3 linked regions of the Macaca mulatta genome follow. The protein of the gene in region 1 purifies or fractionates together with the protein of each later gene. This does not show direct contact. Links are inferred from orthologs where the notes say so. Each region holds a gene or a part of one and is shown in the gene's direction. Other genes may lie near its edges.

Region 1 (11,174 bases):
ATTATTGTTATACGTGTAATATGATACTATTACCATTTTCAGATGAGAAAGTTGGGGTTTGGGAAAATATGAGGTGCAAGAATTCAGAGGTCTGGTTCAGAGGTATTTTAAGTGTTCAAAAGGGTTCCTTATGGCTGGGTATTCACCTGATAATAAGGGCTCTGACCTAAGACAACATAACAGAAGCCTGGAGTTTAACATGCTAACATGTGTCTAGCGCATGTGGTCTTGAACCAGAAGCATTGGCAGAATCTAACACTCACTGGGACCATGGTTATCTTTTTGGGTGTGGGGCTGGACTTACTGGTTTGGTTTTCATTTATTCTCAAGGTTGTCATACCTCAGAAGAAAGGCAAGAAGGCTGCTGCAACCTCAGCAAAGAAGGTGGTAGTTTCCCCAACAAAAAAGGTTGCAGTTGCCACACCAGCCAAGAAAGCAGCTGTCACTCCAGGCAAAAAGGCAGCAGCAACACCTGCCAAGAAGACAGTTACACCAGCCAAAGCAGTTGCCACACCTGGCAAGAAGGGAGCCACACCAGGCAAAGCATTGGTAGCAACCCCTGGTAAGAAGGGTGCTGCCATCCCAGCCAAGGGGGCAAAGAATGGTAAGAATGCCAAGAAGGAAGACAGTGATGAAGAGGAGGAGGATGACAGTGAGGAAGATGATGAGGATGATGAGGACGAAGATGAGGATGAAGATGAAATTGAACCAGCAGTGATGAAAGCAGCAGCTGCTGCCCCTGCCTCAGAGGATGAGGATGATGAGGATGATGAAGATGATGAGGATGAGGATGATGACGATGAGGAAGATGGTAAGGAGTTGTCTTGGTAGTTACTGGGCTTCTGATTGCAAGATATCTTGAGATTCTGGGATCAACATATTCCACAACAACCTGGAGATGAGAGTAGAGTCCTTGTGGGAATTCTCTGGGCTGTTGTGTGTTAGACTTAATTACCCATGAATGATTTTTGTCCCTCCTGAGAAAATTTCAACAGCACATTCTGTGAGTGTTTTTCATAATGTAGGATTTTGTTTCTTAGTGATCTTTTTTGTTTTGTTTTTGTTTTTTAATTTTTTTGACATGGGAGTTTTTGCTGTTTCCTAGGCTGGAGTGCAGTGGCGCGCTATCTCAGCTCACTGCAACCTCCATCTCCAGGGTTCAAGCAGTTCTGCCTCAGCCTCCCAAGTAGCTGTGATTACAGGCGACCACCACTATGCCCTACTAATTTTTGTATTTTTAGTAGAAACGAGGTTTCACCATGTTGGCCAGGCTGGTCTCGAACTCTTGACCTCAGGTGATCCACCCACCTTGGCCTCCCAAAGTGCTAGGATTACAGGCGTGAGCCACTGTTCCTGGCCCCAAGTAATCTCTTCTTGCCATGACTATTAACTAAACATGGTGACAGGATTGCATTAGATTTTAAAACCGATGTTGGTTTTGGGAGATTGCTGCAATTTTTAGGTGGCTTATCTTTCAGACTCTGAAGAAGAAGCTATGGAGACTACACCAGCCAAAGGAAAGAAAGCTGCAAAAGTTGTTCCTGTGAAAGCCAAGAACGTGGCTGAGGATGAAGATGAAGAAGAGGATGATGAGGACGAGGATGATGACGACGATGAAGATGATGAGGATGAAGATGATGATGATGAAGATGAGGAGGAAGAAGAGGAGGAGGAAGGTAATTAGATTCTGACATACATTGACATGAGTTGTTTAAAGGAGGCACTTAAGTGTTTGTGGCTATTGATGGGTAATACATTGACATCTTGTCCAGAGCCTGTCAAAGAAGCACCTGGAAAACGAAAGAAGGAAATGGCCAAACAGAAAGCAGCTCCTGAAGCCAAGAAACAGAAAGTGGAAGGTAACTTGCAGAATTAGGGGATGTGGGGGAGATAAACAGCACAAATGATGAATGACAAAGGGACTTAATACTGAAACATGATGTTACATTGCAGTGTGCTGATGTGCTGTGTATAGAAATTTTGCTTTGGAAACTAACTTTTTACCACACTTCACAAGTAGACTGAGTTCAGCTTTTTTTGTATAGGCACAGAACCGACTACGGCTTTCAATCTCTTTGTTGGAAACCTAAACTTTAACAAATCTGCTCCTGAGTTAAAAACTGGTATCAGCGATGTTTTTGCTAAAAATGATCTTGCTGTTGTGGATGTCAGAATTGGTATGACTAGGTAAGTGCTTCATGCACATTACATACACATGGGTCTGTTAATACTTTTCCTTCCCTTATTAGCACAGTTACTTTAGCCTGCCACTCCTAAACATGAATAGTGTAAACATTTTCAAGGATTAGCATTAGTGAACTAAGTTACAATTAAACTATAGAGTCCCTGGATTGCAATTTCCAGTCAGTTGTAACTTGGTATAGCACAGAATAATCTTAGTAAGTTTTTTTGTCTTTTTTGTTTTGTTTTGTTTTTTATTGAGACGGACTCTGGCTTTCGCTCAGGCTGCAGTACAGTGGCGCAATCTTGGCTCACTGCAACCTCTGCCTCCCGGGTTCAAATGATTCTCCTTCCTAAGCCCCCTGAGTAGCTGGGATTACAGGTGCACGTCACCACGCCTGGCGAATGTTTGTATTTTTAGTTGAGACAGGGTTTCACCATGTTGGCCAGGCTGGTTTCGAACTCCTGACCTCAAGTGATCCACCCAGCTTGGCCTCTCGAAGTGCTGGGATTACAGGCGTGAGCCACTGTGCCCAGCCTAAATTGGGGTCTTGAGGCACCAGTGTTGGTGTTAGGCAGGAGAATCGCTTGAACCTGGGTGACGGAGGTTGCAGTGAGCCAAGTTCGCACCACTGTACTCCGCCTGGGCAACAGATCGAGACTCTGTCTCAGTTTAAAATAATAATAATTTGATGTTTATTTTCTTGGAAGTACCTGAAACTATTAGACCTGACTAGTCATCATAGTGAATGCTTTTATCCAGGCAGGATTCTCCTGTATTAGTGCTTACAGGTGTTCTTTTGTCAGCTGCTACTGTGAATTGTTATAAGCAATTTAGCTAATGATGATGACCTCAAACGTGAATGTGCACATCATATCTCCGTACTGAGACCTTATTCTGTAGCTACAATTTGCAGAGCCTTGACTTTGTTTTGCTAATATTAGGGGTGCTTTTTAAAATGTGATCTTTGTTTGCATCATCACATTTGTCTAGAATACATATTGTGGATTTCAGTTTGTGTTTTCATCTGTTGTAATTTTGCCCTTCTCTCCACCTTGAAGGAAATTTGGTTATGTGGATTTTGAATCTGCTGAAGACCTGGAGAAAGCCTTGGAACTCACTGGTTTGAAAGTCTTTGGCAATGAAATTAAACTAGAGAAACCAAAAGGAAAAGACAGTAAGAAGGGTATGTAAGGCTTTAGGAGATTATGCAATAAATTCAGGAGCTAGACTGCTAGGGAAAATGCTTTGTAACCCATTTCCCTTGGTTTCCTCTCTTTAAATTTTTTTTTCCCCTTGGTTTCCTCTTAATGTGGGAATTAAATGAGCTGGTGTTTACAAGAGTACTTGGCACTGCTTGCTAGTGTTACAGTGTAAATTCTTGAGTTAGGCAAGCAAGAGCACTTTTATACAGAACACGAATTATTAGATGCACCTAAATTAATGTAAAGGGGTCTTCACTGAAACTAGATTAGGTCCCTAATTACTGTTTGCATCCTTTACTTTATTTCTCTATGTACAGTTGTAATGTTGTAATGTTTTAAATTGGTACGTTCACCTTTTTTGTTTCTAAAAATAATATGCATCTACTCCAGGTTGAACTCTAGTGTACCCAGCGGATAGTTTGACATCAGCTGTGACAACATGGAGGGACCACTTGTGTGTTGACACTGCTATATCTCCAAGGCACAGAGCCTTGTACATTATAGGATCTCAAATTATTTGTTGAATAGAGCTATGTCTTTTTTTTCCCCCTCTTTGTTGTTGCCCCCCACCTTTGGTTTTTCAGGCCATGGAGCTCATTTTTGTTTTTTTAATCTAGAGCGAGATGCGAGAACGCTTTTGGCTAAAAATCTCCCTTACAAAGTTACTCAGGATGAATTGAAAGAAGTGTTTGAAGATGCTGCGGAGATCAGATTAGTCAGCAAGGATGGGAAAAGTAAAGGGTATGTTCTGTCTATTGAAATGTAAGGGTTTTCTTAACATGAATACACATTCCTGCTTTATAAAAGAAATGTTGGTTTGATTTTCTTAGGTGTGTAATTTTGGGCAGTTTAACCTGTAAATTTGTGCCTCAATTACCCATCTGTACCATGGGGATAACGTACTCATAGGGTGATTTTAAAAGACAAGGTAATACATATAAAGGAGCAAGAAATGTGCCTAGCTTACAACAAATATTTTGTGAGTAGTAGTTCAGTGAGGTGAGGTTACTGTGAAAAAATTTTGAGTATTTGTAAAACTGTAGTGGGAAGTAAGAGGGAAGCTCAAGTTTGATTGAAAAGTAGCATAAAACTAAGGGCATTTATTGTATTCAGATCTGAAGCAAGTTCTGTGTTGCTGAGGTATAAAAGCATTTGTGTTAATGTGATTTTAAAAACCATGAGTTCTTCTCCCTCCATTGCAGGATTGCTTATATTGAATTTAAGACAGAAGCTGATGCAGAGAAAACCTTTGAGGAAAAGCAGGGAACAGAGATTGATGGGCGATCTATTTCCCTGTACTATACCGGAGAGAAAGGTCAAAATCAAGACTATAGAGGTGGAAAGAATAGCACTTGGAGTGGTAAGAAATTAGGCTTGTTACTGGGTTCCAGAATTGATGGAGGGAACTCCTTTGTGTCTTTGTACTTCATAAGTTTATACTTTTTAATCAAAGTTACTTAAATGTAGGTGAAGATCAAGGACATTATACCCTAAGTTATACTCTTATTTGGAATAGTAATTTCCAATCTTGAATGAGAGCTGTAAAATCATTTTGCATTGGAATACAGTAGGCAAATCAAGCTTCCTTTTTGTAGGTATGTTTTATACTTTAAATGACTTCGACTATGTGTGTGTGTGTGTTTTTTTTTTTTTTTTGAAACAGTCTCGCTCTGTGGCCCGGGCTGGAGTGCAGTGGCCGGATCTCAGCTTACTGCAAGCTCTGCCTCCTGGGCTTACGCCATTCTCCTGCCTCAGCCTCCCGAGTAGCTGGGACTACAGGCGCCCGCCACCTCACCCGGCTAGTTTTTTGTATTTTTTAGTAGAGACGGGGTTTCACCGTGTTAGCCAGGATGGTCTCGATCTCCTGACCTCATGATCCGCCCATCTCGGCCTCCCAAAGTGCTGGGATTACAGGCTTGAGCCACCGTGCCCGGCCGACTATGTGTGTTTTGAACTCAGATTATTGTTCTAGGAAAACAGGCCAGTAGTCAGCCTATACATAAAGAACCACCACCAGAACATTGCAACATGTACTAAGTACTTAATATGTTGAGTAACAAAAGTGGATTTCACTTACATCATCAGTATTTGTGTGTTAACTCTTTCAAGCACTGAAATGCTTAGGAATAAAATATTACTGCTCTGACCGAAGCTGGGAACCACTGTTTCAGAGTCTTAGGAATGTGGCATCTCTATTTGCAGGTGAATCAAAAACTCTGGTTTTAAGCAACCTCTCCTACAGTGCAACAGAAGAAACTCTTCAGGAAGTATTTGAGAAAGCAACTTTTATCAAAGTACCCCAGAACCAAAATGGCAAATCTAAAGGGTAAGATAATTAATACCTTTATATCAGTTACAGGCTATATATGTCTTACAGGTCTAAAGGAACGTAAGGTCATGTGATCCTGTCAGAAAAGCCAAATAATTTTAGCTACGTAAATGAGTGTAAAAGAGCGTCATTTAGGTACCAACTTGAGAGAAGGCTTGGCAGCATCTTGTGACAGTGAAGGAGCACGTGCTTGGTAACTTACTCTAAGCATTAACTGTTCATCCTCAGGTATGCATTTATAGAGTTTGCTTCATTCGAAGATGCTAAAGAAGCTTTAAATTCCTGTAATAAAAGGGAAATTGAGGGCAGAGCAATCAGGCTGGAGTTGCAAGGACCCAGGGGATCACCTAATGCCAGAAGCCGTAAGTTCACCTGGATAGGATGCTGTGGTTGGGGGTAGCACTCTCAGTGCTTTTGGTGTTTATTTTTTGCACAAATTCTGTGTTTCCTGTTGCTACTGAGTGAACAATAACTGGATATGATGACTGATTACCTGAGAAATAATTGATGAAATCTCAAGAAGATTCCTCTAGATAGTCAAGTTCTGATCCAGCTGTGTCAACTCAGAGCAGCAAGTTTGCCCATGATTTCCTGCCCCATCCAGTGGGCAGCACCTGCTTGGGTTCTTCTCCCACTTTCCATAGAAGATGTGGGGCAGAATATCAACTATGCAGTGGCAGTTTAAAAAATGTAAACTCAGAATAGCCTTACTTTAATTAAGGACTAGTTGGCTTAGTTGCTTTTCACTGCTTTTCCACTAAGACAAGCATTCTTGGCCAGTAGTCATACCAGGCATTGTGCAAATTCAGTGTTACTACGAACTGTGACTTCACATAAAGTCACAATTTTTTTTCTTCCCCAGAGCCATCCAAAACTCTGTTTGTCAAAGGCCTGTCTGAGGATACCACTGAAGAGACATTAAAGGAGTCATTTGACGGCTCTGTTCGGGCAAGGATAGTCACTGACCGGGAAACTGGGTCCTCCAAAGGGTAAGGGAAGAAAGCATGAGTGCTGCTTTCACTTGAAGGGGTTTTTGTTCGGTGGAGACCTTGAGTCTAAGGTGTCTTCTCATTGAGCTCCTTTCTGTCTATCAGTGGCAGTTTATGGATTCGCACGAGAAGAAGAGAGAATTCACAGCACTAGCATTATTTTACCTTCTGTCTTTACAGAGGTATATTTAGCTGTTTTGTGAGACATTCTGGGGTTCAAGCTGTCACACCAGTTAGTTTTCCATAGAGAGCTACTCTGTCACTGGTATATTTTCCAAACTAAACAAGGCTACTTTCTGTGGGATGGCTCCCCAGTGTGTGCCGTTAACTTGGGACATGTGCAGTAGGTGCTTTTTATAATGGGCAATTTCATTTGGTGTTCTAGGTTTGGTTTTGTAGACTTCAACAGTGAGGAGGATGCCAAAGCTGCCAAGGAGGCCATGGAAGATGGTGAAATTGATGGAAATAAAGTTACCTTGGACTGGGCCAAACCTAAGGGTGAAGGTGGCTTTGGGGGTCGTGGTGGAGGCAGAGGCGGCTTTGGAGGACGAGGTGGTGGCAGAGGAGGCCGAGGAGGATTTGGTGGCAGAGGCCGGGGAGGCTTTGGAGGTAAGGCACACAGGGATAATGACTTCAATGTCTACTGGACACCACGTAGCATATGCTCTTTAGACCGTGCCTTGTCACGGTTCCTAATCACTGGGAGGAGGAACTTTGTACCTATTCTTTTAACAGTGTCTTGCCTTCCCCCTGTAGGGCGAGGCGGCTTCCGAGGAGGCAGAGGAGGAGGAGGTGACCACAAGCCACAAGGAAAGAAGACGAAGTTTGAATAGCTTCTGTCCCTCGGCTTTCCCTTTTCCATTTGAAAGAAAGGACTCTGGGGTTTTTACTGTTACCTGATCAATGACAGAGCCTTCTGAGGACATTCCAAGACAATATACAGTCCTGTGGTCTCCTTGGAAATCCGTCTAGTTAACATTTCAAGGGCAATACCGTGTTGGTTTTGACTGGATATTCATATAAACTTTTTAAAGAGTTGAGTGATAGAGCTAACCCTTATCTGTAAGTTTTGAATTTATATTGTTTCATCCCATGTACAAAACCATTTTTTCCTACAAATAGTTTGGGTTTTGTTGTTGTTTCTTTTGTTATTATTTTTTTTTTTTTGCGTTCGTGGGGTTGTAAAAGAAAAGAAAGCAGAATGTTTTATGGTTTTTGCTTCAGCGGCTTTAGGACAAATTAAAAGTCAACTCTGGTGCCAGACGTGTTACTTCCTAAAGAGTGTTTCCACTGGAATGTCACTGGAGAGCATGGCAAAGCCAGCTCTGCCACTCACTTCACCCATCCCAATGGAAATGGCGTAGTGCGTGCGTTTCCAGTATCCCAGCCCCCAACTTGGTTGAAATGCTGGTGAGGGGACCCGCTCCTGCAGCCCTGATGCTGATGAAGGCTGCTGCAGCTTCTCCCAGTTTTAGCAGGTTTGAGGATTATGTCCTGTAGAAGACTCTGGAAAGAGGCGCAGGAACACATTAGGTCTCCTAGGACAAGGAAGGGCATCTGGGAAGAGCAGTGGCTCACACCTGTAATCCCAACACTTGGGGAGGCCGAGGTGGGCAGATCACCTGAGGTCAGGAGTTGAAGACCAGCGTTGCCAATGTGGTAAAACCGCATCTCTACTAAAAAAAAAAATTAACGGGGCGTGGTGATGTACTGCTGTAGTCCCAGCTACTCAGGAAGCTGAAGCAGGAAAGTCACGTGAACCCGGGAAGCAGAGGTTGCAGTGAGCTAAGCACGCACCACTATACTCCAGGCTGGGTAACAGCGAGTCTCCAAAACAGTTCTGGAATAGAACTCATGCTAGGTGGATAGACCAGTGGACACTCAGGGACCATGCGGCTGGGGAGGAAACCACATCAAGTAAACCCCTAAAAAGCCATTTGTTCTGTACTATGTATATTCTTTATTCTTTCTGGTCTTAAGTACTTGCCTCAACCTCCACTTTTAGTAAAAGACGAAGGCCACATGAGAGGTGGGACTATCAACAACGTGATGAATTTAGATGAAACCCAGTGCCCAAAATCAACATAGGTAGCCAAGTGCAAAACCCTGTTTTAGTCAGACTAGCGAAATCCAACTATGATACTTGGATAAGCTTAGAAGGCAACATGCAGAACCTTAGCTGGTTTAAGTTTACCCTGGTTGAGCTGGGCTGCTGAAATCTTAACATCCTTGTGCTTATCACCTACTGCTTGTCAGCCCTGTTCCATGTCCAGGGGACGGGGGTGGTGACAATCCAGTTACAAGACTCACGCTCTAGAGAGGAAGGCGGCCAGTGAGGGTTGTAGCTATGATAAAAAGCAGTGGGAGGGTCTCCCATGAGGCAAGCCTAAGGACAAAAAAAGGAAGGCCTTGCAGTCTGTATTCTAGATAAGGAATTGAAGGCTTTTAGATAACAAGCCCATAAGGGGTGTTGTGGATTAAGTCTCAAATTGCAGCAAGGGAAATAGTATGAACATAAGAATCTACAGTGGTTTTCAAGAAAGATCCTGTGAGGCCGGGCACCACACCGTGGGTCATACCTGTAACCCCAACTCCTTGGGAACCTTGGGTGTGGAGATGGCTTGAGCCCAGAAGTTTCAGACCAGCCTAGACAACAGTGAGACTCCCATCTCTACAAGAGATGGTCATGATGGCATAAGCCTGCAGTTCTCGGGAAGCTGAGGTGGGAGGATTGCTTGATTCCGACACTGCATTCCTCCAGTCTGGGTGACAGAAACAGTTTGAAAAACCTTGTGAAGTTGGTGTCTAGGTCTTCTGGAATCTATGAAATGCCTCCAGGGTTCTCCTTGGTTCCCTGCAGCCTTCACCCAGTTGAGAATGTGCTGCAGCTGGTTTCTTTGTGCAATCTTTGGGAGGCTCATGGGTTAAAGTAAGTGATAGTCTATATGCTGTGTGGCCATCTGTTGGGATTGCTGGTGGCTCTGGTGCAGCACAGCCACTGCTTTTTCAACACTTGGAGAGCCTATGGGAGTGGGATTTTGGTAGGTTCCCTTGCTGTGTGCAAGGGAGGGCTTGAATTGCAGGAAGAGCTCATGGCTCCCAAGGTGGGGCTTGCATTGCTATCAAGTTGCTGTTAATAATGGGACAGTTGCTGTTTGTGTACTCAGCAGCTGGGCGTTTTCCTCAGCCCCTCTACTAACTTGCTGCGAGGCAAGACAAGGGCAGGACACTAAGGTTCCTATCTCCTGATTCTTTTTCTTTCCTATTCCTTAAGGCAAGTAGAGATGGTCCAGTCCTGTGATTTGTCAGTGCTTGTTCTAATCATATGTGCTGATTTCCTATAGAATGAAGATGAGGGCCGGGTGCGGTGGCTCAGGCCTGTAATCCCAGCACTTTGGGAGACTGAGGTGGGTGGATCAGCTGAGGTCAGGAGTTTGAGACCAGCTGGGCCAACATGATGAAACCTCGTCTCTACTAAAAATACAAAAATTAGCTGGGCGTGGCAAGGGGGGCACCTGTAATTCCAGCTACTTGAGAGGCTGAGGCAGGAGAATTGCTTGAACCTGGAGAGCGGAGGCTGCAGTGAGCCTCCGCCCTCGACAAAAGCGAAACACTATCTCAAAAAAAAAAAAAAAAAAAAAAAAAAAAGAGGATGGAAGGTAGATTACCCTGCAGGGCCAGAAAGAGACACTGGGGCTTGTGATTAGGGACTGAAGTCAAATTCACAGTCTTCCCTGGTGCCTGTCTCTAGTTTCTGATTCGGTGGTGTTTGGAGCCATTTTAGAAAAGTGATAGTTTTCTTCTGCAAATGGTTGTCACCACATTTGTCATGCTTCCAGCAGGTGGCAGCATAAGTCCACAAGGATCTGGAAACTCCTGCCGGAGGGAGGCCTGGTGATGACCTGGCTGCAGGCCTGTGCATCTCTAACTCCAAACTCACCGTCAGATTTCGGACCAGTGGACAGGCCCAGAGAGTCCCCCACCTCGAGTGATGCTGCACAACCCCTGCAAAAGGAGTTGCCAATTGGATCCTACAGCTAAGATTTTTTGGAGGCATGTCCTGTGCCCTTTCTCTGAGAGTTACCCTGTTATCTTTGTGTCTCACTGTCTCCCCTCAGCCTAAAAAAAAAAACTAAAGCTTTTCTCACTCCAAAAGACTGTCCCCCGACCCTGCCACCTCACACAGTTGTCTCCTCTTCTCTTCATTGCCAAACTTTCAGGATGAGCATACTCTAGCCTCCTCGAAGTGTGGCTTCTGTCCCCCTTCCTCCATCGTGATCATTAAGGTGCCAAAGCCAGGGGTCAGTCTTCCCTCAGTTCACCTTCTTCCCTGCGGCATCTGACAGACTCCCTCCTTCCTGCCGAAACTCCTCCTCCACCATTAAGAATTTAGGCAGTAGGGCCAGGCACGGTGGCTCACGCCTATAATCCCAGCACTTTGGGAGGCCAAGGCGGGTGGATGACCTGAA
Region 2 (11,174 bases), on another chromosome or scaffold:
TGCAACCTCTGCCTCCTGGGTTCAAGTGATTGTCCTGCCTCAGCTACCCAAGTAGCGGGAATTACAGGCGCGTGCCACCACACCTGGCTAATTTTTGCATTTTTAGTAGAGATGGGGTTTCACCATTTAGGCCAGGCTGGTCTCGAACTCCTGACCTCAAGTGATCTGCCTGACTTGGCCTCCCAGAGTGCTAGGATTACAGGCGTGAGCCACTGCACCTGGCCAATAAAGGATTCTTTATGTTTTTTTCCTTTAGTGGGAGCTGTGCACTGAGGGAATCCTAAAAGTAAGACCTACAAGAAAAATCAGCTATGAAGGCAAGTTGCCCCACCCCTTAAGGCACCAAACTTAAATGACCTAGACATACTGAAATCCAGATTTCCCCTGTAAATTGTTTGTAAGTGAGATAAAGTGATATTCAGCGATAACATCAGAAAAGTAAAAGCTTCAATTAATTTTTTTTTTTTTTTTTTTTGAGACGGAGTCTTACTCTGTCACCCAGGCTTGAGTGCTGTAGCGTGTTCTCAGCTCACTGCAACCTCCACCTCCAGGGTTCAAATGATTCTCTTGCCTCAGCCTCCTGAGTACCTGGGATTACAGACATGTGCTACTACACCTGGCTAATTTTTGTATTTTTAGTAGAGGCAGGGTCTCACCATGTTGGCCAGGCGAGTCTCGAACTCCTGACCTCAGGTTATCGGCCCGCCTCGGCCTCCCAACGTGCTAGGATTACAGGTGTGAGCCACCACGCCGGGCCGCTTCAGTTGATTTGATAAATTCCGAAGTAACGAATCTCAGATCTTTGGGGTGCATCAGAATTACTTTGGGAACTTGTTAAAAATACAAATCCTCATTCCTTAAATCCTATCACTTTGGAAGGCTGAGGCAAGAGGATCACTGGAGCCCAGGAGTTTAAGACCAGCCTAGGAAACATAGGGAGACGCTGCCTCTGCAAAAATTAAAAAATTAACCAGGTATGGTCTGGGCACGGTGGCTCACGCCTGTAATCCCAGCACTTTGAGAGTCCGAGGCGGGCAGATCACAAGGTCAAGAGACGGAGACCATCCTGGCCAATATGGTGAAACCCCGTCTCTACTAAAAATTCAAAACTTAGTTGAGCGTGGTGGTGTATGCCTGTAGTCCCAGCTACTCAGGAGGCTGAGGCAGGAGAATTGCTTGAACCTGGGAGGCAGAGGTTGCAGTAAGCTGAGATCATGCCACTACACTCCAGCCTGGCGACAGAGCAAGACTCTTGTCTTTAAAAAAAAAAAAAAAAAAAAAAAAAAAAAGCCAGGTATGGTGGTGTGTGCCTGTAGTCCCAGCTACTCTGGAGGCTGCAGTGAGCTATGATTGTGCCACTGAGCTCCAGCCTGGACAGCAGAGTATGACCCCATCTCAAAAATTGAAAAAAAGGGTGGTTATGCTTTCAAACAAGAGCCCACAAACACATTGCAGCATCAAAACATTGTCTTAATTTGTGTGAAGTACTACTATGTGTTTAAATCAAGTGTACAAAATCTCTTTCATGAGAAGTAATTGGAAGAGAATTTTGAGGCTGGACATGGTGGGTCATGCCTGTAATCCCAGCACTTTGGGAGACTGAGGCAGGTGGATCACTTGAGGTCAGGAGTTTGAGACCAGCCTGGCCAACATGGTGAAACCCCGTCTCTACTAAAAGTACAAAAATTAGCCGGGCATGGTAGCAGGTGCCTGTAATCCCAACTACTTGGGAGACTGAGGCAGGAGAATTTCTTGAACCCAGGAGGTGGAGGTTGCATTGAGCCGAGATCACACCACTGCACTCCAACCTGGGGACAGAGTGAGACTGTGTCTCTAAAAACAAAAAAGAATTGCAGTGCATACACAACACAATCTCTTTTTTTTTGTTTGTTTATAAAAACGACAAAAAAGGATAAGAAGGGGATGACAGGATGAATTATCAAGATAAGACCAGGCCTCTTAAACCGTGACCATAGAAAGTGTTCAAGGTTCAAGTGACATACTGCAGTCAATGTCAGGTTTCACGAATTGAGAGCTCACACTTTTCATTTCTAGGAATTTACAGTACTGCTGACACTTGGAGATCAGCACCGGTGAGCTGAGTGAACTGGTATTAAAAAGATCAAATACACAGTTGCTGCTAAAGCTTTGGAGGGAACAAAATTTCCTAAGCCCACAGTCTGTCCTTTAGTAGCGAAGGAAGGAATCCAGGTCTTATGCATGGGCCAAACAGGTACCTTTCAAAAGTGTATCTAGAGGTACTACCATTTAATATGTATACGAATGGTTTCTTAACAAACTTGTCGATTTTGAAAGCACAGATTCTACACAACCAGTGACAAATGCTTATTTTTTGGGAATCTTAACCTCATTGTAAAGCAGTGGTTTCCAATCTGTGATGCCTCAACGCCTGACAGTCTGGAAAGGCGGTCAAGGCGGTCGTAGGAAGGATGGCAGGTGACCAAATAATTTCAAAGATTTCCGAAAAATTTAATGAAATATATTTTTGATAAGATTGTATAGATTAGCAATAATATAAATTTTATCTAGAGTCACATCAAGTCAGTGTGGTAATATCGATTGTAATTTTGTTGGTCAGAAGTGCTTATTGTCAGTTGTATGTCTCTTAATTAAAAAGAATGAGAAAATGTAATATTAAATGTAAATATTACTTAAATACAAGCCAGCAGGTAGTATCTCCTCAAACAAGGGACCCATGCAAGGGGAGTATGCTAATCAAGAAGGTGTGGCTGGTGAAGGGTTGGGGATCAGTGACCTGGAGGCTGTGTCATTAATGGCTGTTTTAGCAGAGACCCCCTCAGATGCATGAAGTCATCCCAGATCTTGGTATGTAGGAAGGAATCTGGGAAGTTATCAGTCACATCTTTCTTGTTACTTTTGATTTCTTTGCAGTATACTTTCTTCATGGTTATTCTCTATTGCAGACAAATTCTGTGGATCAGAACTGCTCTTAAAATGATTCAGACTGTACTTAAAATGCAATTATATGAATTCTGTAAAAAATATAATTCTAATGCAAGAAAGAGAGAGATCTGTAATTCATGTGGCCCTCTGTGCAAACCCCAATGTTATTCTTATAGAGTTGATTCATGCATTAAATTTAGTTGAACCAATTATAGTACAGAATAAGGTCTTTTTTATTTCTCTGTATATACACCCTAAAGAGGCATTTTAAAGTGGATTTTTGTGTGCATTTAGATTTTGCCATTTCTAGTGTTCTGTTTTTGATATGAAAGTGTTGTTTTTAAATATGATTGTGCACTGACACTAATCTTTCCAGGCTGGTTTTCTTTTTAAATGGTTTTTAAAAGTTTATGGATTGGATGAACTGAGAGAAAGAAAAATTGGAAAATGAATAGCATGTATCTTCTGAAGTTGATACATTTTGAGATAACTTGTTGTATATGAAAATGGAACTCATTTTCCTAGCAAGTATTACCACAGGTCAAATTCCATTAGAAATATCAAGAATGGAAATACCTGAATATTTTGTGGGCCTTGTGTAACTTCTCCAAAAAGAATTGGGTTGCGGTCGCCTCAGTGATTTTTCACCTTGAGTTGCACATCGTGTTGTATTGTAGCTCTTTAAGTGTGCTTTGTGTTCTTTGAACTCCTCTGGGGCAGGAATTGTTTCTTTTTTTTTTTTTTTAGACAGAGTTTCACTCTTGTTGCCCGATGTGGAGTGCAGTGAGGCAATCTCGGCTCACTGCAGCCTCCGCTTCCTGGGTTCAAGTGATTCTCCTGCTTCAGCCTCCCAAGTAGCTGGGATTACAAGTGCGTGCCACCATGCCTGGCAAATTTTTTGTATTTTTAGTAGAAATGGGGTTTCACCATGTTAGCCAGGCTGGTCTTGAACTCCTGACCTCAGGTGATCTGCCCGCCTCAGCCTTCCAAAGTGCTGGGATTACAGGCGTGAGCCACTCTCACTGCAAGGTCTGCCTCCTGAGGCCATTCTCCTGCCTCAGTCTCCTGAGTAGCTGGGACTACAGGTGCCCACCACCACGCCCGACTAATTTTTTGTATTTTTTAGTAGAGACGGAGTTTCACCATGTTAACCAGGATGGTCTTGATATCCTGACCTCGTGATCCGCCTGCCTCGGCCTCCCAAAGTGCTGGGATTACAGGCGTGACCCACCATGCCTGGCCAGGAATTGTATTTCTTAAGCTTAGCACAGTGCTTTGCATCCAGTTAGTAACGTAATAAATGCATCATTCAATAGTGTGTACAGATATACTTCTGAGTGCAAGCCAATAATCCTGTAAATCAGTACAACCAAGGTTATATTGATTAAATATTCTCAAACACTAAAATAATTTGGACATTTACATGGGATTTTTTAATCGTGAAATTTGATGTGTTTTGGAACTTATTTCTGACAGCTGTACCATATAGCTTTCACTGATAATGTCTTGGGTTAAATTGTGGCTCCTCTGATAACCCTCAGAGTAGATTTTGTGCTGTTGACTATATATAAATATCGAGAAATCACAGCATATTCTTGGATTTCCTTGTCTGATGCCTAGCAGTGACCCAGGTCCTTTTATGTATCATGAATCCGATTAGCAGAAAGCATGCTATTACATTTTATTTTAGTGAGTATCATTCTCATATCAGAACAAAACAGTTATTTGTCGATTCTTTCTTGTAGAAAGCATAACTCCTACTGTAGAACTAAATGCACTGTGCATGAAACTTGGAAAAAAACCAATGTATAAGCCTGTTGACCCTTACTCTCGGATGCAGTCCACCTATAACTACAACATGAGAGGAGGTGCTTATCCCCCGAGGTATGTGTGAGTTTTTTTTTTTCTCCATAAAATACAGGTGAAAATGTGTGATATTTTACATAAACTAGTACCTCTAGATTGTGGAGGGAGTAATGATTTGGTTTGGGCCTGCCAAATGTTGAAGTCGGTCTTAATTACTCTTGTGCCTTGTGCCCCTCCCCTGCCTTTTTTTTTTTTGAGACAGAGTCTTGCTGTGTCGCCCAGGCTGAAGTGCAGTGGCGCTGTCTCGGCTCACTGCATCCTCAGCCTCCTGGATTCAAGTGATTTCTCCCTGTCTCAGCCTCCCGAGTAGCTGGGATTGCAGGCGCCTGCCACCACGCCCGGCTAAGTTTTTTTTGTATTTTTTAGTACAGACGGGGTTCTGCGATGTTCGCCAGGCTGGTCTTGAACTCCTGACCTCAGATGATCTGCCCACTTTGGCCTCCCAAAGTGAGTCCCAAACTCACAGAGCACCCGGCCGCCCCTCTTTTTTTTTTTTTAATTCATTGAGACAGTGTCTCCCTATGTTGCCCCAACTGGTCTTGAACTCCTGGGCTCAAGGAGTCCTCCTGCCTCAGCCTGCCACAGTGCTAGGATTAAAGGCATGAGCCACTATACCCGGCCCTTTGTGCTTCTTTACTGCTCTTGGAAAGGGCCTGAGCATATTTCTCACTGGCAGTGTGGCTTGTGCCCTCTAGCAGCCTGGCTAAAGATCACCCTTGTAACTGCTTTGTGTAACTGAATCTTATTCAAACATGATTCCCATAGCATCATGATTCCTGCAAGACAGTGATTCCCAGCATTTGTAGATTACCTGATAATTGGGTACTTTTTGACTTTTGAACTTGTGCGCTTTGTAAATAGCTTTGTTGCAGTAAAATATTAATTGAAACCTGAAAATGCCATGGATTAAAAAATCTTTTGCCGGCAGTAGTAAGACATTAGTGGAGGCCGAGCGCGGTGGCTCATGCCTGTAATCCCAGCTCTTTGGGAGGCTGAGGTGGGCGGATCACGAGGTCAGGAGTTTGAGACCAGTCTGGCCAACACAGTGAAACCCTGTCTCTACTAAAAATATGAAAATTAGCTGGGCCTGGTAGTGGGCACCTATAATCGCAGCTACTCAGGAGGCTGAGGCAGGAGAATCACTTGAATCCAAGAGGCAGAGATTGCAGTGAGCTGAGATCACGCCACTGCACTCCAGCCTGGGCAACGAGAGAAACTCCATCTCAAAAAAAAAAAAAAAATTAGTGGATAGATGATGAACAAAATGGAATTCTTCATTTCCCTGCTCTCTGTTGGGGGATAAAGCCATTTTAAAAATACAAGCTATGAAATGGATAAGAAACTGGGTTCTGCTAGGGAAATGAATGAGAAACTGGGTTCTGCTAGGTAGGCTACAGCTTGTTGGGATTTCTTGAAATGAGGGTCCTTTCTAAAAGACTTGTGCGTTAAAATTCCCAGCCTTCTATTGGAGACATGCAAATTTAAAGCTAAGGTTTGAGAAGGCAGAGCAAACCAAGTGTCTGTCTCCGCCAAAGCCTAATTCATTTTAGATTTTGTCAGTGCAGGTTAGCATGATAAACTCATAATTTCTAAGCCATTGTGTTTCCTGAGATGTAAGTTTGGATTGCTAAAAACTCTTTTCTTATACTGTGTAGCAATTCTAATCCAGTTTAAGCTTTTATGAAATCTCTGGATATATTGATGAAGAGTGATTAGCATCAAACACTAATGTGAGTAGGATCGTGATGAAGGAACATTTGCCAGAGAGTGTATAGGTGACTTATCAACTTGAGACTGTAATTTGCCTAACCTCCTTTTATTTCTAGGTACTTTTACCCATTTCCAGTTCCACCTTTACTTTATCAAGTGGAACTTTCTGTGGGAGGACAGCAATTTAATGGGAAAGGAAAGACAAGACAGGCTGCGAAACATGATGCTGCTGCCAAAGCATTGAGGATCCTGCAGAATGAGCCCCCACCGGAGAGGCTGGAGGTAAGGAGCGGAGCCCAGGCTCCCTGACGCTTCGACAGGGTGGGAGGGTAGTGGGGAGATGTCACTGCACGTTATCTTTTCTAAGAAGGCATGTTGACAGCTGTCCATAATTTTTATTTGAATGCCTCCAAGATTTTATGCTCTGTAGCTTTCTTGCTTTTTACCCCTTTTTTCGTTTTAAAATTTCTTAACAAGAAAGTCAGTTGCCTTCTTTTCCAGTCTATGGCATGGTTTTGAGTGACATGGTGTGAACACGTTAGAAAGTTTGCGATTCAATTGAGTTGTGAAGAACATGTACGGATGAAGTCTTCAGTACTGAAGATTTTGCTTGTGATATATGGTACCAGGTTAGAGAATTTTCTGAAGCTGTTTTTGACCAGCCACTCTTGATTATATAGAAGCGCCTGTTATCTATTGCCTCATAACAAACCGTCACAGAATTTAGTGATGGTTTAAACATCTCCAGGCATTTATTTTGCTCATAAGTCTGCAACTGAGGCCGGGCTTGGTAAGGGTAGCTTGTCTTCATTCTACACAGCTTTGGTTGAGGTGACTCTGCAGGGGGCTGGAAGATCTGCTTTTAAGATGGCTCACTCGTGTGGCTGGTAAGTTGGTGCTTGCTGTCAGCTAGGAGCTCAGCTGGGTCTCTGGCCCCAGGACCTCAGTTCATCCCTGGGTGACCTATGGAAGGATTGCTTACACTTCCTCATGGTATGGTGGCTGGTTGCCCAGAGTAAGCATCCTAGAAGATGGGAAATGGAAGCAGCTGCCAGTTTCTTAAGGCTTAGGCTCAGAAATCACAGCATCGTGTCTGCCATGTTCTACAGGTCAAGCAGGCACAGAGCCCAGATTCAAAGGAAGGAGATATAAAATGTCACTTAAAAAAAAAAATTGAGGTGGCCAGGCACAGTGGCTCACGCCCGTAATCCCACCACTTTGGGAGGCCAAGGCAGGCAGATCATGAGGTCAGGAGATCGAGACCATCCTGGCTAAGACGGTGAAACCCTGTCTCTACTAAAAATACAAAAAATTCGCTGGGCGTGGTGGTGGGAGCCTGTAGTCCCAGCTATTCGAGAGGCTTAGGCAGGAGAATGATGTGAACTCAGGAGGCAGAGCTTGCAGTGAGCCGAGATTGTGCCACTGCACTCCAGCCTTGGGGACAGAGCGAGACTGTATCTCAGAAAAAAAAAAAAAAAAAAATTGAGGGTAAAAATTATATAACCTAAATTGACTAGTGTAAGTGTACAATTCAGTAGATTTTAGTACATTCACAATATGGAGAATCCCATTTCCAGATGATGAAGGGATTGTCAAAGAATTAGGGACCATGCTTTAAAACCACCATGATAGGAAAAGGATTATTAACATTTTTGTGACTCAATAGCAATATAATTCTTAGGGAATCAGTAACTCCATGCCATTGAGGGGGTCAAAGCATTAGTGAATATCTTTGGCCAGGCAGAATCTTATCACAGGTAGAGTCACAAAGGCCAGAAGAAGCCCAGTGAATTGAAAACATTGAGATTTCATAATTCTGTTTAATCACAGCAGGAAATGCCACCTGAAAATATCTCTGGGTAGCATTTGACTTTTCTTCACCAGGAAACATGTTCACAAAGAACAAGAAGATCCTGCACAGAACAGTGGGCTAAGTATGTGATGAGAGGTGTAGACCCAAGCGGACCTTGGGCAGGGTGCCTGCTGAGGTCTGTTGTATCCAACTGCCACCCAGGGCGACCCAGCTCGGGCTTCATGGCTGGCTGCACAGGAACGATTTGTTTTTCTTTCGTTACGCTGCGTTTCCATTTTCCACTGTAATCACCTATTCTAGTAGATGATCTGTTTCCATGGCCCACTAAGGACCAAATCAAAGAAAATGAGGCTGTAGCTAAAAGAGGAGGATTTAGTGAAGTTAAAAGGATGAGCTTTTCAGTGGTGAGATTTGTTAAAACACCAAAAAGGTAGTGGAATTTGAGTTATTTTGGAGGCTCTTCAGCTTTTTACCTGACTGGTGCTAATCTTAATTGGAGTCAGATGGAATAGGTATTTCTAGTACTTCCAGCCAATAGTTGATAAACAATTGCTGGACACTGCTATATGGATTTTGTGCATCACAATCACTTGAGAAGTTAAAAAAAGAAATTCTAGGCCCAACCCCGGGATTCTAATGCAGTAGGTCTAGGGTAAGACTCAGGAATCTGGCTTTTGCTTTTATTGTTCTTGCTGGGTTTTTTTTTTTTTTTTTTTTTTTTTTGAGACAGTCTCCCTCTGTCACCCAAGCTGGAGTGTAGTGGCATGATCTTGGCTCACTGCAACCTCCACCTCCTGGGTTCAAGCGATTCTTGTGCCTCAGCTGCCCGAGTAGCTGGGACTACAGGTGCTCACCACCACGCCCAGCTAAATTTTGTATGTTTAGTAGAGATGGAGTTTCACTGTACTGCCCAGGCTGGTCTCAAGCTCCTGAGCTCAGGTGATCTGACCACCTTGGCCTTCCAAAGTGCTGGGATTACGGGCATGAGCCACCATACCCAGCCATGTTGTTAGTGAGCTCTTGGAGTGATTCTGAGGTATGGTCAAGGTTGGAGAACCACGGATCTAAGCGCTGTCAGCACTTCCCCAGCAGTTCTTCCCCTTGACTCCTCCATGAGAATGATGAGAGTATTGCTACAAAGGATAAGTGCCTATTGGTATTTCTGAGTCTCCCACCTTCACTCACTAGAGCAGCGTTGGTTGGCACAGTCCTGAGGGCAGCAGTTGTTGTGGACATGTTCTCCTGGGCTGTTTTCTCACTGGGTCCTGTGAAAACTCTGAGGAGCTTTGCTGGGGAAAAAACAACAACAACAACAAAAACACCTTTTTTCACTGACGTGTATATTTTGAATATGTTACGTCATTTACTTAAAATTCCTTGGAGGACTCAAATTCAGCACACACCTAAGCACTTTTTAATGGCTGCAAAGTGTTCCACTAAGTGAATGCACTGCTTTGTTTTCCAGCAGGGACTTGATTATTTAGGTTGTTTGTAGTTTTCCCTCTTATGAAATGGGTCGGGAAGAACATTGTTGCAGTAAAGTCTTTGTCCACAGTCCTAGAAGTAGAATTGCTGAACCAGCGGGTATGCACAGTGGTACATATGGCCAAGTTCTCCACAGGAAGAGGGTGCCATTTTACAACCTGCTGACAGGCCATAAGCAACCTGTCTGTCCACAGCCTGCCAGCATTGGAAATGATAATTTTAAACAAATTGTCAGGTTAGCTGTGGCAAATTTGTGGAGCATGTGATTGTGTGGTGGATCAATGCATCTTCTCTAGAAGATACGCAGTAAAGCCAGCACTTGCTGTCTACAGGACAGGTATAGTCTGGGCCCTCTATGCCAGGCGCTGCCCTAGACCCTGAGTTGAAAACAGCCAGTGCCGTCCCTTTTCCTGTGAACTTGGTCAAATGGAGCTGCCACACATTAACATCAATATCAGCAAAAAGTGCAGTTAGTACAAGGATGGAAAAGTGACAAGGATTAGAAGAACGTAAAGTATTTCATTTAGGTTGGAGTAATGGTGGTGAGTTCAGAGCAGTCTTTTCAGAGGAAGAGACATTTTGGCTGAGACTAAAGATCAGCAAAGAGCAGGGACAGTGTATGCCCAGAGAGGGAGCAGCAGCTGCAAAGGCCCCAAGTTAAGAAAGTGCATGGATTATTTGTTTATTTAATCTAAGGTTTGTGCTAACGAAGGATGAGTTTTACTCAGTGTCCGAGCTATTAGGAGCAGTATGGTCATAGCTACAGTATCTGTAATAGAGAAAAACAGGAGCTAGCTTAAATGTCCATTACTAGGGAAGTGGTTAAAAAAATGGCTATGTTTATCCCATGAGTACGAGTGTGGTATCTCATACACAGGCATGAAAGGGGATGAAGTTGCAGAGCTGTTACTGTGTGTACAGTGTGATCCTGTTGGTGTTTCAGAAAACAGTAGAGCCAGCTGTAAGTGTGTATGTATTTTTGTTTGTTTCTTTTCTTTTGTTTTGGAGACAGGGTCTCACTCTGTTGCCCAGGTTGGAGCGCAGAGGCCCAGCATGCAGGCTTACTGCAGCTTTGACGTCCCTGGGCTCAGGTGATCCTCCCATCTCAGCCTCCTGAGTAGCTGGGACTATCGATTCATGCCACCACGCCCTGCTAATTTTTGTATTTTTTTGTAGAGATGGGGTTTCGCCATGTTGCCCTGGCTGGTCTTAAACTCCTAGGCTTAAATGATCTGCCCACCTTGGCCTCCCAAAATACCAGGATTACAGGCATGAGCCACTGTAAACAGCCTGAAGTTTTTAAAATACTTTTTTATACTTTTGTAAAAATGAATAAATGCAGCTCTTTCTGGTTTTGAGTCCTTATCTTCACTTG
Region 3 (10,087 bases), on another chromosome or scaffold:
GGCTACACTAAGAATGACTTGGGAAGCCAAAGTTCAACTCAAAGAGATTTTGATTAATTCTGGGTTTCCAGAAGGTAAGACTCCCATTCTTAAGATACCTTTAAAGTGACATTTATATAGTACATGCAAATTGACAGCAAAGTGTATTTTAGCTTCAAATTTTAGACCCTATGATTTTTCTATATTCCCAACTATTTCTTAGTTCTCATGGATACTGGTCCAGCTCCCAGAATGAGTACTTTGCTGATAACCTTATAGTGGTTTGCAAAGTAATTGATTAGCATTTAGACTTGAAGTAAATTCTACCACATTAAATTTTAAATGGCTTTAATATAAAGATGAACTGTAGTACTTTTCTTTTCCAACTAGGTTAAAATATAGAATTATTTCCTAAAACATTGAGAACTGGAATGCATAACCAGAGATAAGACTGTTGAGAGACAGAAGGTAGTTGGGCAAGATGGTAAATTTTTAACGGCTGTGATTGGAATAACTTAACAGAGTAGTGAGTGGTTCTCTTCTGTCATAAGCCAGCTGAAATGTTAGTTTCTCCTCAGAATTATAAGAAAGGGAAAACTTTTTATGTGCTAGAGTCTTGAGATGCATTTTATAAGTAATGAAACAGGCACCAAGGTATAAATTGTCTTTAATTTATCCAATTACGAGGTTATAAGGCTAGAACTCGTTTGTCTAGAACAAAATATGTCTGTGCTTTCAGCGGTTGACTGTCATGCTTTCCAGTCAGTAGCTAAGTACTCATAAAGTGTAGACTGGGTAAAAACGTCAGCCTTCATTCCAGTAGGTGTCCTCTTAGATTATCATTCCATCTTCTCTACAACTAACAACTATTGAAGAGTAGCAGATGAGAAAGTTTTACAGACAGGTTATGTGAAGAGAGGAAGAGTCAGTTCTCTGAATTTTCTTGAATAGTTTGCATGTAATGTGAAGATCAGCCAATTATCTGATTTTTCTTTTCACTCTGCTCCTCTTAACAGATTGTTTGTTGACACAAGTGTTTACTAACACTGGACCAGATAATAATTTGGATGTTGTTATCTCCCTCCTGGCCTTTGGTGTGTACCCCAATGTATGCTATCATAAGGAAAAGAGAAAGATTCTCACCACTGAAGGACGTAATGCACTTATCCATAAATCATCTGTTAATTGTCCTTTTAGTAGCCAAGACATGAAGTACCCATCTCCCTTCTTTGTATTTGGTGAAAAGGTAAGAAAAGACTACAAAAGTTAACATTGAAAGTTGAAATTGTCTTCACAATCATTAGGAATATGAATTTTGATTTTCAAAGCACAGTATGTGGCGGTATTTGGAAGTTGGAATGTCAACCATTTTGTACTGTCTCTTTCTCCATTTGCAGATTCGAACTCGAGCCATCTCTGCTAAAGGCATGACTTTAGTCACCCCCCTGCAGTTGCTTCTGTTTGCCTCCAAGAAAGTCCAATCTGATGGGCAGATCGTGCTTGTAGATGACTGGTATGGATTTTCCGCTGTGAACTCCAAACTGAATTCTTAGAATTATAATATGATGGAATTCAGCTGCTAATCTAACTTAATTATATACTAATTATAACTTAAATATATACTAATTATATCTAACTTAATTGCATAGTATATACTTAAACGGATACCAGTAGAAGCAGATGCATTAGAAATTTGAGCCATGTCTAACCACTATGCACACCACTATGGAATCAATCTAAGTGAAACTTGAATACACTTTCACATACTCTCTATATTGATTCAAAACTAGTGGCAAGCACTGGGCAAAAATGGAATAGAGCTTAATGGATAGCCAGTAGGCTCAGCCATCATATTCTTGAAAACCTAGAAAATGCCAGCATTCTGGGTCTCTTAATTCATTCTTTTAAAGTCTGGATGATCTGGCTGGGTGCCGCAGATGAGTTGGGCTCAGGAAGTTCGAGATCAGCCTGGACAACATGGTGAAACCTGTCTCTACTAAAAATACAAAAAATCTAGCCCAGTGTGGTAGTGCACACCTGTAGTCCCAGCTATTCTGGAGGCTGAGGCAGGAGAATCACTTGAACCTGGGAGGCAGAGGTTGCAGTGAGCCAAGATCATGCCACTGCACTCCAGCCTGGGCAACAGAGCAAGACTGTGTCTCAAAAAATAATAAGTCTGAATGATCCATATTGCCGGACTTTCTTTTGTTTATTATATATTACATATATTTTTGTATTTTATTTGGCTTGATAGACTTTAAGTAGTTTTTAAAAATATTAATGCTTAAGAAGTTAAATTTATTCTTTAACTTGCCATGTGTGAGGTTGAGAGATAATGGTCTTTTTCTTCATATACTCCCTCTCTTACTTTTAATGTTTTTCGCCACTTTAGGATTAAACTGCAAATATCTCATGAAGCTGCTGCCTGTATCACCGGTCTCCGGGCAGCCATGGAGGCTCTTGTTGTTGAAGTAACCAAACAACCTGCTATCATCAGCCAGTTGGACCCTGTAAATGAACGTATGCTGAACATGATCCGTCAAATCTCTAGACCCTCAGCTGCTGGTATCAACCTTATGATTGGCAGTACACGGTGAGTACCATATTAACTTCTCATTGAACCAAGTAGAGGGGAGAGATCTTTCATAGGTCTAGAATTCCTAGAGTTAGTGATAGAAGCCTTATTAAGTAAAATTCTAGATACAGATAGTTTAGTTCCATCTAACAAACTCAGAACAAAAATGTCATTTACTTTTGTTAGTCCCTTTGTTAGTAATTGGTCTACCGCATCAGTGCGTATTGGTAGTGTTGGAAAAGGATCTTACAAATACACATACGTAGTTCAGAGTAGGTCACATGACAGGGAAGTGACACAGCCCAGATAGCCCTTTTTCCATGGTACTGTTTTGGCATCTCTAAAGAAAAAATATTGATGAGATGTTAAATTGCTTCTTTATCCAATGTGTATGTGTTTTTGTTTATCTTAAACAACTAAGAGCATGGACATCTTAAAGCAAAGAAATGAGAAATTTATCTTAATTCTTAAAATTTTTATTTGCTTCAGGTTTTAAAATTTTTTCCTTTGCCCATGAGTTTTTATTTACAAATACTTGATACTTGCCAAAAAGGCAGAAAAGTGATACAATGTTTAGCCATATAGTCTTTGTTTAGATTCACTAATTTTCAGCGTTTTGTACATTTCCTTAATCATTTGTGATGAAGTAGTAGGCACTACCACATTTTACATCAATACACTTCATATCTTTTAAGAACATGGTCACAATACCACCCCAAAACCTTAAGTGTTTTAGTAATACTATAATATGCTATTGTACTAAAATCCTTCCAGTTATCCAAAAATGACCTCTAATTCCTCATCAAAAATGACTTACTGCATTTGGTCTGTCTATAAAATGGGTAGATGGTTATCCTCATTCTCTTTAATATAAATAAGGAAACCGGGCACAGATAAGACTCAAGGTCATACAACTAATAACTGATAGAACCAGATTCAAACCCAGGCAACATGCCTCCTGAAACAGTGTTCTTACTAGGCTTTACTGTGGCCCTCCTAGGTGCTTAAATGTATAGGATAATTCAGTAAGCATCATAGGCAGATAACAAATTAAGTATTCATGGGTGTTTAGGAGAAGAGAGATTATTTTTGGTAGGAGGGCTGGTAAGCAAGGAACCTTTGTATATATAATCTGTTTCTATGAGGGATAGTAGTCCAGAAACTAGAAAGAAAGGGATATACGTAAGAGAGTTTAGGATGTATGAATATGTGGTGGCCTAAATTACAGTAGTAGATAGAATTTTTCAAAATTAGATATACATTTTTCAAAATCGTATTTCAGAATTATTGCAGGAAAACTTTTAGTGATAAAGACCAAATAGTTTATTGGCAGCTCCAGGAACCCTCTCCTAATGCTTGCCTTCTTGGAACACTATGTTGTTGACCTGAGTAAGAGCACTTCTTAAAGTTGTAATGACATACTGCCAAAATTCAAAACCTTTGAGATTGAACCAGAAAGAACTTCAGAAAAACAGATGGATATAATTGATGACTGTTTTAGAATAGCAGATCAATTTTGTTTCAATTTCGATTTGTGCGTTTGGCTTCATTCCCTTTATGTATTAAATTTTCAAATATAACTAACTGTGTGCATTTGGTGAGTGGTTGGGAAATAATAAGAATGCTTTGCTGAAGTGATGGTTTTGTGCTTTTCCTAGGTATGGAGATGGTCCACGTCCTCCCAAGATGGCCCGATACGACAATGGAAGCGGATATAGAAGGGGAGGTTCTAGTTACAGCGGTGGAGGCTATGGCGGTGGCTATACCAGTGGAGGCTATGGTGGCGGAGGCTATGGTAGCGGAGGCTATGGTGGCAGCCCCAACTCCTTTCGGGCAGGATATGGTGCAGGTGTTGGTGGAGGCTATAGAGGAGTTTCCCGAGGTGGCTTTAGAGGCAACTCTGGAGGAGACTACAGAGGGCCTAGTGGAGGCTACAGAGGATCTGGGGGATTCCAGCGAGGAGGTGGTAGGGGGGCCTATGGAGGTGGCTACTTTGGACAGGGGAGAGGAGGTGGTGGCTATTAAATCTTGGTTATGTCAGTTCCTGTGTGTAGACAGTAAGGAAAAAAAGGCATGCTATGTGTTACGTGTTTTTTCCAATATGTTTATTTGCCACCAAAAAGTAAATGCATTTTCACCCATTCTGTGGTTCATTGTAGTTTAAGGAAACCAAGCATATAGATGCATTAGTGATTTTGTTTATATTATGTAAAATATAACGATCTATCTTAAAAATACCACAGTTTGTATTTTTTCTTTAAGGAGTAAAGATTTGCCTTTAAATAACTTGGTATTTTCCTGGCTTTCGTTTAATACAGTAGAAAATAAAGTATTACACCGAATACTTGCCGTGTAGTTTGTTGACCTTATATATTAGAAAATTTTATAATGCCAGTTACATCTGTTCATTTTAAATGTCAGAGAAGTTGTACCATGTTTCAAAAGTATACTAAGTGATACTACTTGTAATAGAAAAATCACCTTGGAATTGTTACCTTTTGAAGTAAATACTGGCAAGTGTACAAGCCACATAAACCTGAATAAAACTTTTGACCTAGGGCTGAACATTTGGCTTCCTCCCATATTCTGTCTTTGAATAAGACCAAGGCCAGCATTTTCTTTTCTAAGTGAGTTTCTACTGTGACAATTAAAAGCAATATAATCACTCCGTTAGAACTCTTAAGCCACTTTAATAGACATGTTCATACATTTATAACACTTTACAGTTTCCAGTGAATTTGCAGATTTCTCATTTGAGCAATGGGAGAGGGCAAAGGTATTGGATTAGACAGAACTGGGTCTGTCTTAATTCTTTTCTCCACCATGTGGATGATCTTGGGCAAGTCATATTTTTGTCTTGGTTTCCTTTTCAAAGTCCTTTATCCTGCATATATGTTGTAGATCACCTTCAGCAGTTAAGCTGATGGCACATATTTACAGACACACAAGTCTATCTCCAACCTTGATTTCCTTTCTGAGCCATGTAAGCAGCTGCATACTGAACATGTATCTCTGCTTAAATATCCCACAGAAAAAAATCTCAGTGCTTTCCAAACTGACCTCCTTCCCCTCCCAACCTACCCTATGTCCTGACAGTACTGTGTTCTCTGCTCCGTTTTCTTTGGAGTTTTCAGCTGCTTAATTGCTTAAGCCACCACCTCTAGTCAGCTCAAAACATCTTTCAATATACTTTTATAGATCAGTTGCCTCTGTTCTATTCAGTCTTAGTTTGGACATACAGTGCCACAGCAACCACTTAACTGATCCTGCCTACAGGCCTGCCTCAATCTAATCTCCACTACAGCTAGAGTAAACATTCCCAAACGAATCTGATTTCATACCCTCTCTCCTGACTTAAACCAATGGTTCTTACTGCCGGCAGGGTAGAGGCTAAACTCCCTTCTTAGCCCCTGACTCCAGCTCTACCTTCATTTCTGCTGTACAGCTGTAGCTAGCCATACTGAACTAGCACCATTGATGGAGCATGCTTTCTCTCCCTTTGCACGTTGTGAAAACTCCCATAAAAGGTATAGTAGCAGGACGAGCCGCAGACAAAACTCCTCTGACACCAAGTTAAAGAAGGGGTTTTTTCAGCCGGGGCATCAGCAAGACTCCTGTCTCAAGAGTCGAGCTCCCCGAGTGAGCAATTCCTGTCCCTTTTAAGGGCTCACAACTCTAGGGGTGCGTGTGAGGGGGTCATGATTGATTGAGCAAGCAGGTGGGGGCTGCATGCACTGGTAATTAGATCAGAAGAAAACAGGATAGGGATTTTCACAGTGCATTTCTATACAATGTCTGTAATCTATAGATAACCAATTAGGTCAGGGGTCAGTCTTTTAACTACTAGGCCCAGGGTGTGGCGCCAGGCTGTCTGCCTGTGGATTTCATTTCTGCCTTTTAGTTTTTACTTCTTTCTTTGGAGGCAGAAATCGGGCATAAGATGATACGAGGAATGGTCTCCTCCCTTAGTATAAAATCAATAATGGTTCATTTGAATGGTACTCATGCCTCCAACAAATTCAATTAGAAATGTGAAATTGAAAAATGGCCAAAAGTTGTCAGTGCATTCTCTAAAGGTTGAAAAAAAGCACTAAGGCATAGTTCTAATCTTTTCATATTCAGCTGAAGACCTAAGGAGCTTCATATGTAGCTCCCCGCTGTGTGTGCCCCACACATTTCAGCTGTCCTCCCCAAACTCGTTTGTCTCATAACTGCAGTGCTCTGCTTGGTAGTTTCTCCCTCCGCGGTGACCCAGAAAGTGCTTCCACATAGTCATGGACTTGTCTCATTGTTTTCCTTATTGGGGGATCACAGTTCTGCATTGCCTGTTGCCTAATGTCTGAAAGCAGCTGTTTCACTAGTTGCTTACATGGGAGGTTAAGTGCCATTTGTACTTGTCATAGCTGTAAGTGGGAATCCACTTCACTTGTCAAAGAATCCATTATAAAGTCCAGAAATCATGCCTTTTTTTAGATGAGACTTAAAAGAGCAGAAGGCTACATAGAGTATTTTGTGGTATATTAATACCTTCAGACATCAACTACTGTTGAATTTCTGTTTTGAGGCAGGGTCACCCAGGCTGGAGTGCAGTGGCGCAATCTCAGCTCACTTGCAACCTCTACCTCCCAGGCTCAAGCGATCTTCCCACCTCAGCCTCCTAAGCAGTGGGTAACTGGGACCACAGGCACCTGCCACCACCACACCCAGCTAATTTTTTTTATGTTTTGTAGAAACGGGTTTTCACCTGCCCAGGCTGGTCTTGAACTCTGGACCTCAGACAATTCACCCGCCTTGGCCTCCCAAAGTGCTGGGATTACAGGCATGAGCCACCACACCCAGCCTTCATTTCCTTTCTTAGTCATCTCTACATTCTGCTTAGAACAAAGACAATAGTTAAAGAATGTCACAGCAGGTGTGCAATGACTGAAAGTTCTTCCAAAATGAGAGCTTGAATACACACCGTTCCCGTTCAGGAGATGGGAGAGAGTTCGAGGAAAAAATTTGTAGAAAGGTTTCTGCTTACCACCCCTTCTCTCACAGCACATATCTACTGGAGTTTGCGGTAGTAGAGCTGGCAGTGACAACTGAGTCTGCCCTTCCAGAAGTTCAGACAGGAAAGACAGTGGCCTGAATTGCACCTGTTTAGTCCGTGGTTGGCAGCTTGAAAGTTATCTGGAAGAAAAAGCTGATGTGCCAGTTTGAGGAAGCCAAGCTGCAGACCTCTCTGTGTTAACAGAAGGTGTAGGTACAGTGTCCTCAAGCAAGCAGCTACAATTTGATGGGATCTTCTATGCTGTGGAGCTACACTCCAGACCCTCTGAACGTCACCTATGCCATAGGAACAGATCACAATATGAATAGTTGTGCCAACTTAGGGGTCAGCCCAAACAACAAGAAAGAAGACATCAACTTTAGCCAAGCATGTATTTGAATTCCAATTTCCCTCTCTCTGAATCTGGAAACAGAATTGGGACAGGAGGATAGTAAAGAAAACCAAAAATGGAATTTCTAATTTTATTGGAACTGATACGAATTTTGGTTTTGACTGGGAAAACAGCTCCTGAATTCTACTGTATTTGCCAGAAAGACTTAGACTTGAATTACTGTCTAGAAGACAAAAAGGGAAGTTTTTTAAAGTTGTATTTGTATAACTCATATTTGCAGACTGTCCTATCACATGTATAAAATATTTCTGGACCATGTGGGGAAAATGTAATATTGAATCTCAAAGTTAACCGAGGTTACCTGAATTTCTGAGACTATTTTAGTGATAATTTAGCTTTTAAGAAAAGATATGAGGAGAGGTGGAGCAAGATGGCTTAATAGAAACCTCCAGTGACCTTCTCCCCGCAAGAACACCAAACTGAAAACGATCCACACAAAACACCTTTGTAAGAACCAAAAATCAGGTGAGCGATCACAGTACCTGGAAAGAGGTATATTGAGGAAAGAGGCACGGAAGAAGGTAGGAAAGAGTCTTGACTTGCCTACATCACCCTTTCTCTGCCCTGGCAGCGGCCACATGGCACAGACAGAATCTGTGTGCCTGGCAGTGGGGGAACAATGTGAGACGTTGCGTTGGAACTGAGTGCTACTTTATCACAGTGCAAAGAAGAATTCAGCCCATGCCCTTGGAGGAAACATTTATACCTAGCCAGAGATGGCTAGGTATATTGATACCTAGATATTTATAGCCAGAGATGAATTGTCCTTCCCAGAGGTTGGAACCTGACTTCTGACACGCCCTGCCACTGTAGGCTTAAGTGCTCTGGGTTCCTAAATGAAAGGCAGTCTAGGCCACAAGGACTGCAATTACTGGACAAGTCGTGGTGGTGTGCTGGGCTCTCAGCCAGTTCATTTGAGGTACACACAAACTAGTGAGACACCAGCTGGGGCAGCCAACGGAGTGTTACGTCACCCCTTCCCCAAAACCAAGCACAGCTTGCAGCTTCTAGAAAGACTCCTTCCTTCATCTGAAAAATGGTTCAACATATGCAAATCAACCAATGAGACACATCATATCAACAGAATGAAGGATAAAAATCATAATTTCAATTGATGCTGAAAAACATTTGTTAAAATCCAACCATCCCTTCATGATTTAAATAAAACACTCAAAAAACTGGGTATAGAAGGACATACCTCAATACAATAAAATCCATATATGACAGACCCACAGCTAGAGTATCATACTGAATGGGAAATGACTTTCCTTTAAGATCTAGAACAAGACAAGGATGCCATTTTCACCATTGTTATTCAACATAACTGGAAGTCCTAACTAGAGCAATCAGACAAGAAAGAAATAAAGGGCATCCAAATTGGAAAGGAAAAAGTCAAATTATCCTTGTTTGCAGATGATATGGTCTTATGTTTGGAAAAACCTCAAGAATCCGGCAGAAAAACTACTGGAACAGATAAATTCGGTAAAGTTGCAAGATACAAACCAACATACAAAAATTAATAGCATTTCTATGCCAGCAACAAACAATCTGAAAAAGAAATCAAGAAAGTCAATTTACAATAGCTACAAATAAAATACGAATAAATTTCACCAAAGACATGAATGATCTCTACAATAAAAACTATAAAACGCCGATGCAAGAAATTGAAGAGGACACCAATAAATGGAAAAATATTCCTGTTCTTTGATTGGAAGAATCGGTATTGTTAAAACGTCCACAGTACCCAAAGCAATCTACAGATTCAATGCGTTCTCTATCAAAATACCAATGACATTCTTCACAGAAACAGCAAAAATAATTCTAAACTTTAAATGGAACCACAAAAGACCCAGAATAGCCAAAGCCATCCTGAGCATAAAGAACAAAACTGGAGAAATCACATTACCTGACTTCAAATTATACTGCAGAACTACAGGAACCAAAACAACATGGTACTGTTAGCAGCAGAACATATCTGAGTCACACAACACCAAAGTATGTTACTGGCAGTGAATTCATATGAGTCTAAAACAACCTCATTTCTTGCCTCCTCAGAGGAAAAATTTGAGGGGCATAAGGCAGAAGGAGA

What was found. The genes of interacting proteins can lie anywhere in the genome.
Region 2: the proteins of NCL (region 1) and STAU1 purify together in Homo sapiens (affinity purification with mass spectrometry; 4 studies listed by BioGRID and IntAct, with this or other methods). This does not show direct contact. The link is inferred for Macaca mulatta from reciprocal best matches to the Homo sapiens genes NCL and STAU1.
Region 3: the proteins of NCL (region 1) and DHX9 purify together in Homo sapiens (affinity purification with western blotting; 3 studies listed by BioGRID, with this or other methods). This does not show direct contact. The link is inferred for Macaca mulatta from reciprocal best matches to the Homo sapiens genes NCL and DHX9.

Annotation. Positions count from the first base shown.
Region 1 is NC_133417.1:136,709,832-136,721,005, reverse strand, and holds the end of NCL (nucleolin), read left to right. Parts: intron 1-330; coding exon 331-811; intron 812-1,478; coding exon 1,479-1,676; intron 1,677-1,772; coding exon 1,773-1,859; intron 1,860-1,896; exon of another isoform or gene 1,897-1,966; intron 1,967-2,045; coding exon 2,046-2,187; intron 2,188-3,243; coding exon 3,244-3,368; intron 3,369-4,004; coding exon 4,005-4,128; intron 4,129-4,589; coding exon 4,590-4,747; intron 4,748-5,589; coding exon 5,590-5,713; intron 5,714-5,944; coding exon 5,945-6,078; intron 6,079-6,189; exon of another isoform or gene 6,190-6,269; intron 6,270-6,578; coding exon 6,579-6,705; intron 6,706-6,778; exon of another isoform or gene 6,779-6,915; intron 6,916-7,090; coding exon 7,091-7,314; intron 7,315-7,461; coding exon 7,462-7,538; 3' UTR 7,539-7,966; downstream 7,967-11,174. UniProt on the Homo sapiens protein: Nucleolin is the major nucleolar protein of growing eukaryotic cells. It is found associated with intranucleolar chromatin and pre-ribosomal particles. It induces chromatin decondensation by binding to histone H1.
Region 2 is NC_133415.1:101,961,994-101,973,167, reverse strand, and holds part of STAU1 (double-stranded RNA-binding protein Staufen homolog 1), read left to right. Parts: intron 1-4,670; coding exon 4,671-4,809; intron 4,810-6,617; coding exon 6,618-6,783; intron 6,784-11,174. UniProt on the Homo sapiens protein: Binds double-stranded RNA (regardless of the sequence) and tubulin.
Region 3 is NC_133406.1:40,346,002-40,356,088, forward strand, and holds the end of DHX9 (ATP-dependent RNA helicase A), read left to right. Parts: coding exon 1-74; intron 75-995; coding exon 996-1,225; intron 1,226-1,376; coding exon 1,377-1,492; intron 1,493-2,371; coding exon 2,372-2,572; intron 2,573-4,212; coding exon 4,213-4,579; 3' UTR 4,580-4,990; downstream 4,991-10,087. UniProt on the Homo sapiens protein: Multifunctional ATP-dependent nucleic acid helicase that unwinds DNA and RNA in a 3' to 5' direction and that plays important roles in many processes, such as DNA replication, transcriptional activation, post-transcriptional RNA regulation, mRNA translation and RNA-mediated gene silencing.